3 linked regions of the Saccharomyces cerevisiae S288C genome follow. The gene in region 1 interacts genetically with each later gene. Each region holds a gene or a part of one and is shown in the gene's direction. Other genes may lie near its edges.

What was found.
Region 2: mutations in URA4 (region 1) and AIM22 together harm fitness more than expected from each alone (negative genetic interaction), as found in Saccharomyces cerevisiae (2 studies listed by BioGRID).
Region 3: mutations in URA4 (region 1) and ERG11 together harm fitness more than expected from each alone (negative genetic interaction), as found in Saccharomyces cerevisiae (2 studies listed by BioGRID).

The regions. Positions count from the first base shown.
Region 1 is NC_001144.5:961,708-965,390, forward strand, and holds URA4 (dihydroorotase), read left to right. Parts: upstream 1-2,077; coding exon 2,078-3,172; downstream 3,173-3,683. Other genes in the region: YLR419W (RNA helicase), read left to right, coding at 1-1,028; proteasome regulatory particle lid subunit RPN13, read right to left, coding at 3,383-3,683. UniProt on the Saccharomyces cerevisiae protein: Catalyzes the conversion of ureidosuccinic acid (USA) to dihydroorotate, the third step of the de novo pyrimidine biosynthetic pathway.
Region 2 is NC_001142.9:350,519-354,138, forward strand, and holds AIM22 (putative lipoate--protein ligase), read left to right. Parts: upstream 1-1,867; coding exon 1,868-3,097; downstream 3,098-3,620. Other genes in the region: cullin RTT101, read right to left, coding at 1-1,590. UniProt on the Saccharomyces cerevisiae protein: Catalyzes both the ATP-dependent activation of exogenously supplied lipoate to lipoyl-AMP and the transfer of the activated lipoyl onto the lipoyl domains of lipoate-dependent enzymes.
Region 3 is NC_001140.6:119,474-123,324, reverse strand, and holds ERG11 (sterol 14-demethylase), read left to right. Parts: upstream 1-1,641; coding exon 1,642-3,234; downstream 3,235-3,851. Other genes in the region: superoxide dismutase SOD2, read left to right, coding at 1-436; YHR007C-A (uncharacterized protein), read left to right, coding at 560-775. UniProt on the Saccharomyces cerevisiae protein: Sterol 14alpha-demethylase that plays a critical role in the third module of ergosterol biosynthesis pathway, being ergosterol the major sterol component in fungal membranes that participates in a variety of functions.

The DNA.
Region 1 (3,683 bases):
TTTTACTTGTCTCGATACTCGGTATTGGAGTTTTGCCTTTCATCGGAGGTTTTGAAAATAGGGAAAAGATAAAAAAACTGCTATGTAAATATGAAAGTCGTGGGGATTTATTTGCAGTATTGGAAATTGTCAGAGATTACTTCAAAATCAAAGATTCGAGCATCAAAAGGAAATATTTGAGAGACAATTTACTTTCCTATAATAAAATTAATGAAATTAAGTCATCAACAGCCCAATATTATTCTATTTTGAAAGATGTAGGCTTTCTACCAATGGACTATAAAGTTGGAAGCATTTCTGATTTGAATAGGAACGAGCGAAATTTTGATATCCTAAGGGCCATTCTCACGGGTGCGTTTTATCCACACATAGCCAGGGTGCAACTACCAGATGTAAAGTATCTATCAACAAGTTCCGGTGCTGTTGAAAAAGATCCTGAAGCCAAAATGATCAAATACTGGATTCGAAGCGAAGAGTATCAGGACAAATTAGAAGAATATAAGACGAAAATTTCGCAAGAGACGCAAAAGGTTGATTTGGAAGATTTACCGTTACCTGCTACTAGGGCATTCATTCATCCAAGTTCAGTCTTATTTTCAACCAATTCAGTAAACTTGGAAGACGCTAAGTTACTCTCTGAGGTGGATGGTCCAATATCCCGTCAATCCAAAATACCAACCGTTGTAAAATACCCATTTGTTTTGTTTACCACGTCTCAAGTTACTAATAAGTTGTATTTGAGGGACTTAACCCCAACTACTACATTATCATTACTATTATTCGGAGGGGCAATCTCTTATGACATTGGAGGTACTATTCATTCACCGGGCATCGTTGTCGACAACTGGCTCCCAATTAGAACCTGGTGTAAGAATGGTGTTTTAATCAAGGAACTGAGAACACAACTTGATGAGGCCATAAGGAAAAAGTTAGAAAGTCCCGATTATGCTAAAAAATCTCAAATTGATAATTCTGGTGCTGATAAAACTCTAAAAATTGTTGAAAAAATTATAGCTTCCGAACAATAGTAATCAGTTCCTACTGTAGTCCCTGTATAATAATTATCATCTTCATTTTCGAAAAGGAATTTTTTTAACATATAGAAGTGTCAAAGTATAAAACACTAACAAAAATCTAAGAGATTATTGCGACTGCGTGTTTTTCTCTTTGCTGAATCAGGGCTAGAATCCCGTAAACTACATAGCACATTGTCTTTGCCATATTTTAAAAATTTTGTGGCGCCGTCAAAATAAAAAAAAAATACTGAAGGATGCGAGGTTCGAACTCGCGCGGACAACCGTCCAACAGATCTTAAGTCTGCCGCCTTAGACCACTCGGCCAACCCTCCGTCGATAATACAACAACAAGGAAATACAGGATACGAACACCATCCAGTTTAACTTGATTAATCTTTACGCATGCATATTGCTACATCTTTTTTATTCTGCAATATACATCTGTTTATATCTCATTAATGTTGGTAAGCCTCTGAAAAATTTATCAAATACTAGTACAATTGTTTACCAACATCATTTTCGTTGCTAGAAAATTACTATACACCGTTAAGAAAAGACATAAATCATGAGACTAATAGAACAACACTAGGGATTAGCCAATTTAATGGGAGCTGAAATGCAGGGATTAATTATGCAATTACAAAATGAATGGTATCGTTTGAAATGAAAGAAGAAACACTAATATTATAACATAGAAATATCGATTTCTTCCTGCGAATTCCCATGTCCTCGTTGAGAACTTCTAATATGTTTTGTATGCCTAATATTATAGCTTTACAAAAAAATAGAATCTCAACAATTATCCCACAATTCACTCATGTCATGCTGCCTCTCGCGTATTTTTTCTTGAAACCGATGCTAGTTTAGTTGTCTTTCGGCATCAGCTCTAATTTTTTCAAGAATAGTATCTACAGAGTCAAATTTCATCATTCGGAGAATTCCGATGAATCGGCATCGTCAGAGAAGCTATATAAGAAGAGATAAACACATTTGAAAGATAGGATATACTTTGAAAGTGTTCTGGTGACCACTATATCACTTAAGTAATACCTAACAAAGCAATGGTACAAGAAATCGATTTAGGTTTGACATGTGATATGCATGTTCATGTAAGAGAGGGTGCGATGTGTGAACTAGTCACCCCCAAGATTAGAGATGGTGGGGTTTCAATTGCTTACATCATGCCAAATTTACAACCTCCAATTACCACACTAGATAGAGTGATTGAATACAAAAAGACACTGCAGAAACTAGCTCCTAAAACTACCTTCTTAATGAGTTTTTATCTTTCAAAAGACTTAACTCCAGATTTAATTCATGAAGCTGCCCAACAACATGCCATTCGTGGAGTAAAGTGTTATCCAGCGGGAGTAACAACAAATTCGGCTGCTGGGGTGGATCCAAATGACTTCAGCGCATTTTACCCAATTTTCAAGGCTATGCAAGAAGAGAACCTGGTATTAAATTTGCATGGGGAAAAACCTTCTGTCCATGATGGAGACAAAGAACCTATTCATGTATTGAATGCAGAGGAAGCCTTTTTGCCAGCCTTGAAAAAATTGCATAATGATTTCCCAAACCTGAAAATAATTCTGGAACACTGCACTAGCGAGTCGGCAATAAAGACAATCGAGGATATAAATAAGAACGTGAAGAAAGCCACTGACGTAAAGGTTGCTGCCACATTAACGGCTCATCACTTATTTTTAACAATTGATGATTGGGCCGGAAATCCGGTAAATTTTTGCAAACCTGTTGCGAAACTTCCAAATGACAAAAAGGCTCTAGTCAAAGCTGCTGTATCAGGGAAACCATATTTTTTCTTTGGATCTGATTCAGCACCTCATCCTGTACAAAATAAGGCCAATTACGAGGGTGTTTGCGCAGGAGTTTACTCACAATCTTTTGCGATCCCTTATATCGCCCAAGTTTTTGAAGAGCAAAATGCCTTGGAGAACTTAAAGGGCTTTGTTTCCGACTTCGGAATTTCCTTTTATGAGGTTAAAGATAGCGAAGTGGCTTCTTCAGATAAGGCAATATTATTCAAAAAAGAACAAGTTATCCCTCAGGTTATCAGCGATGGCAAAGACATAAGCATCATCCCATTTAAAGCAGGTGATAAACTAAGTTGGTCGGTGAGATGGGAACCTCGTTAATATGCAACAATATGTAGGCTCATTTGAGAGTATAGACCATATATACATATTTATGGGAAAAATAAACTTACCTTCCAATAGAAGTTATAGATGCCATCATCATGCCTATTGTTATGGTCCGTATCTCTTTACAGAAGTTCACAGCCAAATGCGTTGATATGGTATATTTTTTCTCTTCAGTTTTTTATCAAAAAATGCCACAACCTTGATTTAATCTTGCATACTAACATCCACATCTTGAGCTTTTTGCTTTTCGTCATTGCTTTCTTCCTCATCACTTTCACTACTATTATTCAGCACTCCAATCATCTTATTGTAAATTTCTTTATCTTTCGCACTCAATTCATTTAAGGGCAAATTACCTGAGTTCTTCTCTTGCAGCCAAAAGAAGTACCTTTCGTTGGATGAAAAAACTAAAGCAAATATTCTGCCACTTTTACTGGATTTTATTGGAACCCACATGGTCTCTCCAGGAATTAAAATCAAAGAAATAGGATCAAGTTCCCTCCCG
Region 2 (3,620 bases), on another chromosome or scaffold:
TTGTGAGACATTTGTTATGATTCTTTGTTTGAAAAGTTCCATGAGGCTGTCTTTGTAAACAGGTAATATATCCTTAATAAATGAGGAATTTTGATCACTTTGTAAGATCGTCTTTCTGAAAATTGATCTTTCGAAAAAATTAGGAAATGTGGGAAGGTTAACGAACTTCAGTCTCAATATAGGAAGATTTTCGTTGAGATACTTTATTTTCATATCTCTGGGTAGGTCTTTTTTAGTTGTTTTTATCTTTCTGACGATGATGAATAAATGTGACTCAAAATATTTGACATACTGTTCTATGGCTTTGCTGGTACTTCCAAGTAAATTACATAAATGGTACTCGATGGAATCGGAGTATATTTTGAGGTGATCTACATTAGCTAGCTGAACTACCTCATCAAATAGCCTTTCAGTATCATGATTGGATCCATATGCTGCCTTTAACTTTTCTGAAACGGCATCATCACAGAATTCCTTGAATTTTGACAGCATATTTTTTGCTTCAAAAGCATTTCTAAACATCAATAAGCTAAAGTGTGTCTCAGTTTTGAAATATCTCTCTTTTTCTTCATCATAAGTGTCCTTCCCAATTTCTATGTATTCGCTAATAGACTTCTTGTTCAACAGTAGATGGCTTATAAATAGGTCATTTGCATCGCTGACCCATTCAGGGGAAAATAAAGATGCTAATAATGCATTCCTCGTCAATAGTACCTTAAAATTCTTGAAAGTTTCCAGCCTCGGCCTTAAATTTGATTCCTCACAGTAATATTGTCTGAGAGTTTTCATATAAAAATCTTTGGGGCTCAAGCCCTCTATACTAAAATTGCAGTTAGACATTATACGGAGCATAGGAACTTCCTTCTCTAACATTGTATTCGTTATTGGAAACATATGAATATAGTGATGAATAGTAGCGCTTACAAGGGTGGAAAATTCCCTTCCAAAATGTGACTTCATACATTCGAAAAGTTTGGAATCATAATACTGAAATATCGTTAAGGTCTCAAATCCTAGTTCTTTTCTTATCATGGGATAATTTACCGGCACATACGATATAATAGGACCAACGGCACCCATTACGTACTGAAATAGCTTGTAAAAAGAGGTCCAATTTTTGGGTATAATTTCATAAGAATAGTCGCATCTGGTCAAAAAGCTAAGGACGTGCGCGTCAATTATTAACTTTGCCAATTCATCACAAAATTCTTGAAAACTCAGCACAATTTGGTGTTGATGTAGCAGCTGAAACTTCTTTTGCTTTTCGTCATTCCCATTAAATTCTGAGTTGTAAGGAATGTATGATTTCCTTTGCGTTAATTCACGGCAATTGTTCAACATCTTAGGCATTAGCTTTCTAAATTTAGCGGCCTTTTCTTTATTACACTCCAATTCTTTCACGTCAGTTTCAGTTATAGTTTCAGCTAAAGTAAGGTGAAAAAACTCGTGCAGCTCAGCAATCATCGTTCGATACCTGGGATTTCGCTCATCGTTAAATTTATTGTATAGTCCTAAAGCGTTGCTTGCACTCGTCTCTCTGCTTATAGACTCGTGGAATCCTTCTCTCTTGGAAACGCTCTCATTTATCATTGTTCCTGTGAACCCGTACGAGAATTTATACCAGTAAAAAAGATTGGTGGGTTTAATATCTTGAGGATTCCTTCAAAGTAGTCTTTTAGTGCAAAGATATCGATGATCTTCATTCGCATTGTTCATATTCATCATTACGCAAAGGATAGCTATGCGTTCCGCTTCGTCATACTTAATCAGGAATATTGAACATCCAAAAATCTCCGAGCTCACGTATGTAGAATTTTTGATGAATACAAAAGAAGAAAACACTAGACTTTTCTTTGATGTTTACATTATGTCTATGATGCTAAGTAATTGGGCACTCTCCCCTCGATATGTGGGACAGCGAAACCTCATACATTGCACCACTTTATTTCACACACTTACACGATGGGCAAAAGACGCAGACGATAAATATCATGATATAAACTCAATGTATGAAAACATGTTTACACCTTCAAATGATAACGTTTCAATTTTGCAGGATGAAGGTAAATCTGATTATGATACGACGAAGGCCAGCTCTATGGAAGAAGATATCAGTGCTTTTAATAAAGACTTGTACAATTTCTATAATATTGGATATGCCAAACAGATCATGTCTGCTTCACAATTGGAAAATATAGTAAAGGCAAAGGGCAGATTTGTTATACAAAGTTTATCCACCAGTCCTTATTATAATTTGGCCCTTGAAAACTATGTTTTCAAGAATACACCAAGAGCCAAAAGAGGTCCCGATAATTGCAGACTGTTATTTTACATCAATGATAGGTGCGCCGTTATAGGCAAAAACCAAAATCTGTGGCAGGAAGTAGATCTTGCTAAGCTGAAGAGTAAGAATTTCGAACTACTTAGAAGATTTTCTGGAGGTGGCACTGTACTGCATGATTTGGGCAATGTTAATTATTCATATTTAACATCAAGGGAGAAATTCGAAACAAAGTTTTTCAACAAAATGATAATTAAGTGGTTAAATTCATTGAATCCCGAACTAAGACTAGATTTGAATGAGAGAGGAGATATTATTCAGGACGGGTTTAAAATTAGTGGCAGTGCTTATAAAATTGCCGGTGGCAAAGCATACCATCATGCAACGATGTTGCTTAATGCGGATTTAGAACAGTTTAGCGGCTTATTAGAACCCTCACTACCGAACAATATGGAATGGGAGTCAAGTGGAGTTCATAGTGTAAAATCAAAAATCAAAAATGTTGGTATAATTACTCCTAATCAGTTCATTGCAGTGGTATCCGAGCGTTTTCAGAAAACATTCAAAGTTGACGGCGAAATACCTATATATTACTGTGACGAGTTTAAATCTATAAACGATGAGATTAAAGATGCTATGAACACCTTACAGAGCGAACAATGGAAATATTTCTCGGGGCCTAAATTTTCAGTGAAGATTAAAGATAAAGGCTTAACAATTAAAGTCGAAAAGGGCATGATTTATGATTGTGATAGAAATGATTTAATCGGCTTGGAATTCAAAGGATTTTTGGAGAATATTGACAGTTACACATAACGTTGATGAATATTTCAATTCACTTGTAAATAACGTAGGTAAATATCAAAATTAAAGTCTTTCACCGGAAACTGATTCAGCATATTTCAGCAGACGCGTCCTAGATTCACAGCAAACTTCAATATAAGCGATACATTAGGAGTGTTCGTACTTTAGATCTATAAGAACTATATTTTGTTACGATTCAGCCGTCTCTAAATGTGAACTAAATATTTATACTGTTATTTGAGAAACCGACAGATAGTACTTAATTTTATCGATCATCTAAGAATAGCATCGGTATTGTGGTGACATTTATTGAATTTCTTCCGCTCCAGAATAAAGTTCCTTTTCACTTCAAAAAACTGCCACCAGTAAAGTTGCACCAGTGGTTTTTGAGCATTTTTTGTCAATGTCGCTTAACCGTTCTTGAACTGTATCCTCTTGACGTCGATAAAATCATTTGTAAAAACCAGGCCAAATCATCATTGAATAATTTACACTGTGTCTTCAATGTCGCCATTTGGACCAATAATTATCAAAC
Region 3 (3,851 bases), on another chromosome or scaffold:
AATGATTGCTATCCAACAAAACATCAAGTTCCATGGCGGTGGTTTCACAAACCACTGTCTATTCTGGGAAAACCTGGCTCCAGAGTCGCAGGGCGGTGGTGAACCACCCACCGGCGCTTTGGCAAAGGCAATCGACGAGCAGTTTGGCAGTCTGGACGAGCTGATTAAGTTGACCAACACAAAGCTAGCAGGCGTGCAGGGCTCCGGATGGGCCTTCATTGTGAAAAACCTCTCTAATGGAGGCAAGCTGGACGTTGTTCAAACCTACAACCAGGATACCGTCACAGGCCCACTAGTTCCTCTAGTTGCCATTGACGCCTGGGAACACGCCTACTACTTGCAGTACCAAAACAAGAAAGCCGACTACTTCAAAGCCATTTGGAATGTGGTCAACTGGAAAGAAGCATCCAGAAGATTCGATGCTGGCAAGATCTGAAGAAAGAAAGAAAGAAAATACCTTTTTTTTTCCACTGTGTCGTTTTTATTCTAACTACTCTACTAAATCACACAACCACACTCCCCTATTTAATAATATATTTTACTATTAAAATACATATACATGCATCGTAAAAAAAGAAAAAAAGAAAAGAAAAGAACCGAAAAAGACAATACAACCAACCTTCCTCCACTTTTTCTTTTTCCTTGTTCTCTCTCGCTTCCTACGTTACTCGCGCCTGTGCACTACATTCCCACCAGATTAACTCACCACCAGGCAGAGAACCAATTGTTCTTGTTATTGTTCCAACCGATAATTGTAAAGCCATTAAGGTCGTAAACGACTGCTTACTCAGGGAGATCTCCGAAAACGGCAATTGCTGTGCACCGTGCGACGTTATGATCGCCGCCTGTCCCGTACAGACGAACAATTGCAACAATGGGCGGTTGTTTAGAGAGGTTTTGTGCCGCGCCCGGGAATTACCGGGGGCACAGCAAAATACGAAATTTCCGGCAAAATGTCTCTGTACGAAAATGAGGCCAGCCTTTATTCCCGACTAAGCCGTACGATTATAGTAATGTCACACGAAGTGGATACTATACGAGCAGCGCACATACAATGTGCGTGCAAGATTTGCCGGGTTGGACAATCTTAAAGGCCGATAATCCACGAAAAACGAGACAAACGAAGCGCTGGCCCTAAACGAAACGAAACGAAACTAAGATTTCAAGATAATCGCTTTTCAGATGACAATAGTCTCTTGCAGAACACAATAAGTGTGGTAGGTATCTTGCAGGAGACATCGATTTTATGCCTGAATTTTTTTTTTTTCTTGGTATGAGCACATCCTATTGTGCATCTCCACGAGTTAACGACGTTTACGTACTCGCATGTATTCGAAAAGCCTCTAAAAATTGCCCTCCATGTGTATTCATTATATAAGATAGCGTATTTTCCCTTAGTTTTCTTATTCCCTCTTAATTCTCTCTTTCAATGTCTTTTTTTTTTTCCCTTTTCCTTTTTCCCTTTTCGTTATTGGTAAATTATTTATAAAAAGATTGATAAGCAGTATCGTTCAGCGTGTGTATTTTCGATAGGAAGTAATAATTTTTCATTATATTAATTAATAGTTTCCAGAAAAAATTTTTTTTCCTTCACAATTGCAGCAGGCTTGAATAGAAACAGAACAAACGAGTAATACAAGGATGTCTGCTACCAAGTCAATCGTTGGAGAGGCATTGGAATACGTAAACATTGGTTTAAGTCATTTCTTGGCTTTACCATTGGCCCAAAGAATCTCTTTGATCATAATAATTCCTTTCATTTACAATATTGTATGGCAATTACTATATTCTTTGAGAAAGGACCGTCCACCTCTAGTGTTTTACTGGATTCCATGGGTCGGTAGTGCTGTTGTGTACGGTATGAAGCCATACGAGTTTTTCGAAGAATGTCAAAAGAAATACGGTGATATTTTTTCATTCGTTTTGTTAGGAAGAGTCATGACTGTGTATTTAGGACCAAAGGGTCACGAATTTGTCTTCAACGCTAAGTTGGCAGATGTTTCAGCAGAAGCTGCTTACGCTCATTTGACTACTCCAGTTTTCGGTAAAGGTGTTATTTACGATTGTCCAAATTCTAGATTGATGGAGCAAAAGAAGTTTGTTAAGGGTGCTCTAACCAAAGAAGCCTTCAAGAGCTACGTTCCATTGATTGCTGAAGAAGTGTACAAGTACTTCAGAGACTCCAAAAACTTCCGTTTGAATGAAAGAACTACTGGTACTATTGACGTGATGGTTACTCAACCTGAAATGACTATTTTCACCGCTTCAAGATCATTATTGGGTAAGGAAATGAGAGCAAAATTGGATACCGATTTTGCTTACTTGTACAGTGATTTGGATAAGGGTTTCACTCCAATCAACTTCGTCTTCCCTAACTTACCATTGGAACACTATAGAAAGAGAGATCACGCTCAAAAGGCTATCTCCGGTACTTACATGTCTTTGATTAAGGAAAGAAGAAAGAACAACGACATTCAAGACAGAGATTTGATCGATTCCTTGATGAAGAACTCTACCTACAAGGATGGTGTGAAGATGACTGATCAAGAAATCGCTAACTTGTTAATTGGTGTCTTAATGGGTGGTCAACATACTTCTGCTGCCACTTCTGCTTGGATTTTGTTGCACTTGGCTGAAAGACCAGATGTCCAACAAGAATTGTACGAAGAACAAATGCGTGTTTTGGATGGTGGTAAGAAGGAATTGACCTACGATTTATTACAAGAAATGCCATTGTTGAACCAAACTATTAAGGAAACTCTAAGAATGCACCATCCATTGCACTCTTTGTTCCGTAAGGTTATGAAAGATATGCACGTTCCAAACACTTCTTATGTCATCCCAGCAGGTTATCACGTTTTGGTTTCTCCAGGTTACACTCATTTAAGAGACGAATACTTCCCTAATGCTCACCAATTCAACATTCACCGTTGGAACAAAGATTCTGCCTCCTCTTATTCCGTCGGTGAAGAAGTCGATTACGGTTTCGGTGCCATTTCTAAGGGTGTCAGCTCTCCATACTTACCTTTCGGTGGTGGTAGACACAGATGTATCGGTGAACACTTTGCTTACTGTCAGCTAGGTGTTCTAATGTCCATTTTTATCAGAACATTAAAATGGCATTACCCAGAGGGTAAGACCGTTCCACCTCCTGACTTTACATCTATGGTTACTCTTCCAACCGGTCCAGCCAAGATCATCTGGGAAAAGAGAAATCCAGAACAAAAGATCTAAGGTTTGTAACTGAGAAAAAAAAAAAAAACAGAAAAAGAGAGAAGTTGTACATTCACGTGGGCCTTATCGCCACACTCATCCATCTCCAATGATTTATTTTATTTGCCAGTACGTTTGATATGACATCGAGTTATGTTCTTTAGTTACTTTCAAACTTGGACAACCATCCCGCATTATTTATGAGTGGTATGGTTTCACTTCTTTATTTATAAATATTTATACTACGAAATTATATATAGATTACATTTCTAAAACAACATCAAATATAAGGTTTATTTATGCAACATGCCTACTGGATTAGAAGAGAGAACACACAGCTCACAGGCCAAGCGGAAATAAAGCAGTCTTTTCGCAAACTTGTAAATCTTTTTGCAATTTAAATTAATCAAGAGAGGGCCCAGGAGGAGAGGAGTTTTGGGGAGGGGTCACTGAGGAAGCTCTCTTAAATATGGATTCACTGAAATAAATGTATATAAGATTCATTACTGCTTTTTATAGTGATAAATCCAAATGATGAGTGAATTGAACCATCCTTAGTATCCATTGTTTTATAAAGCACCGCTAAAAATAATATATTGCTACAAAAATGATATAATAATAATATTACGTAAAATACC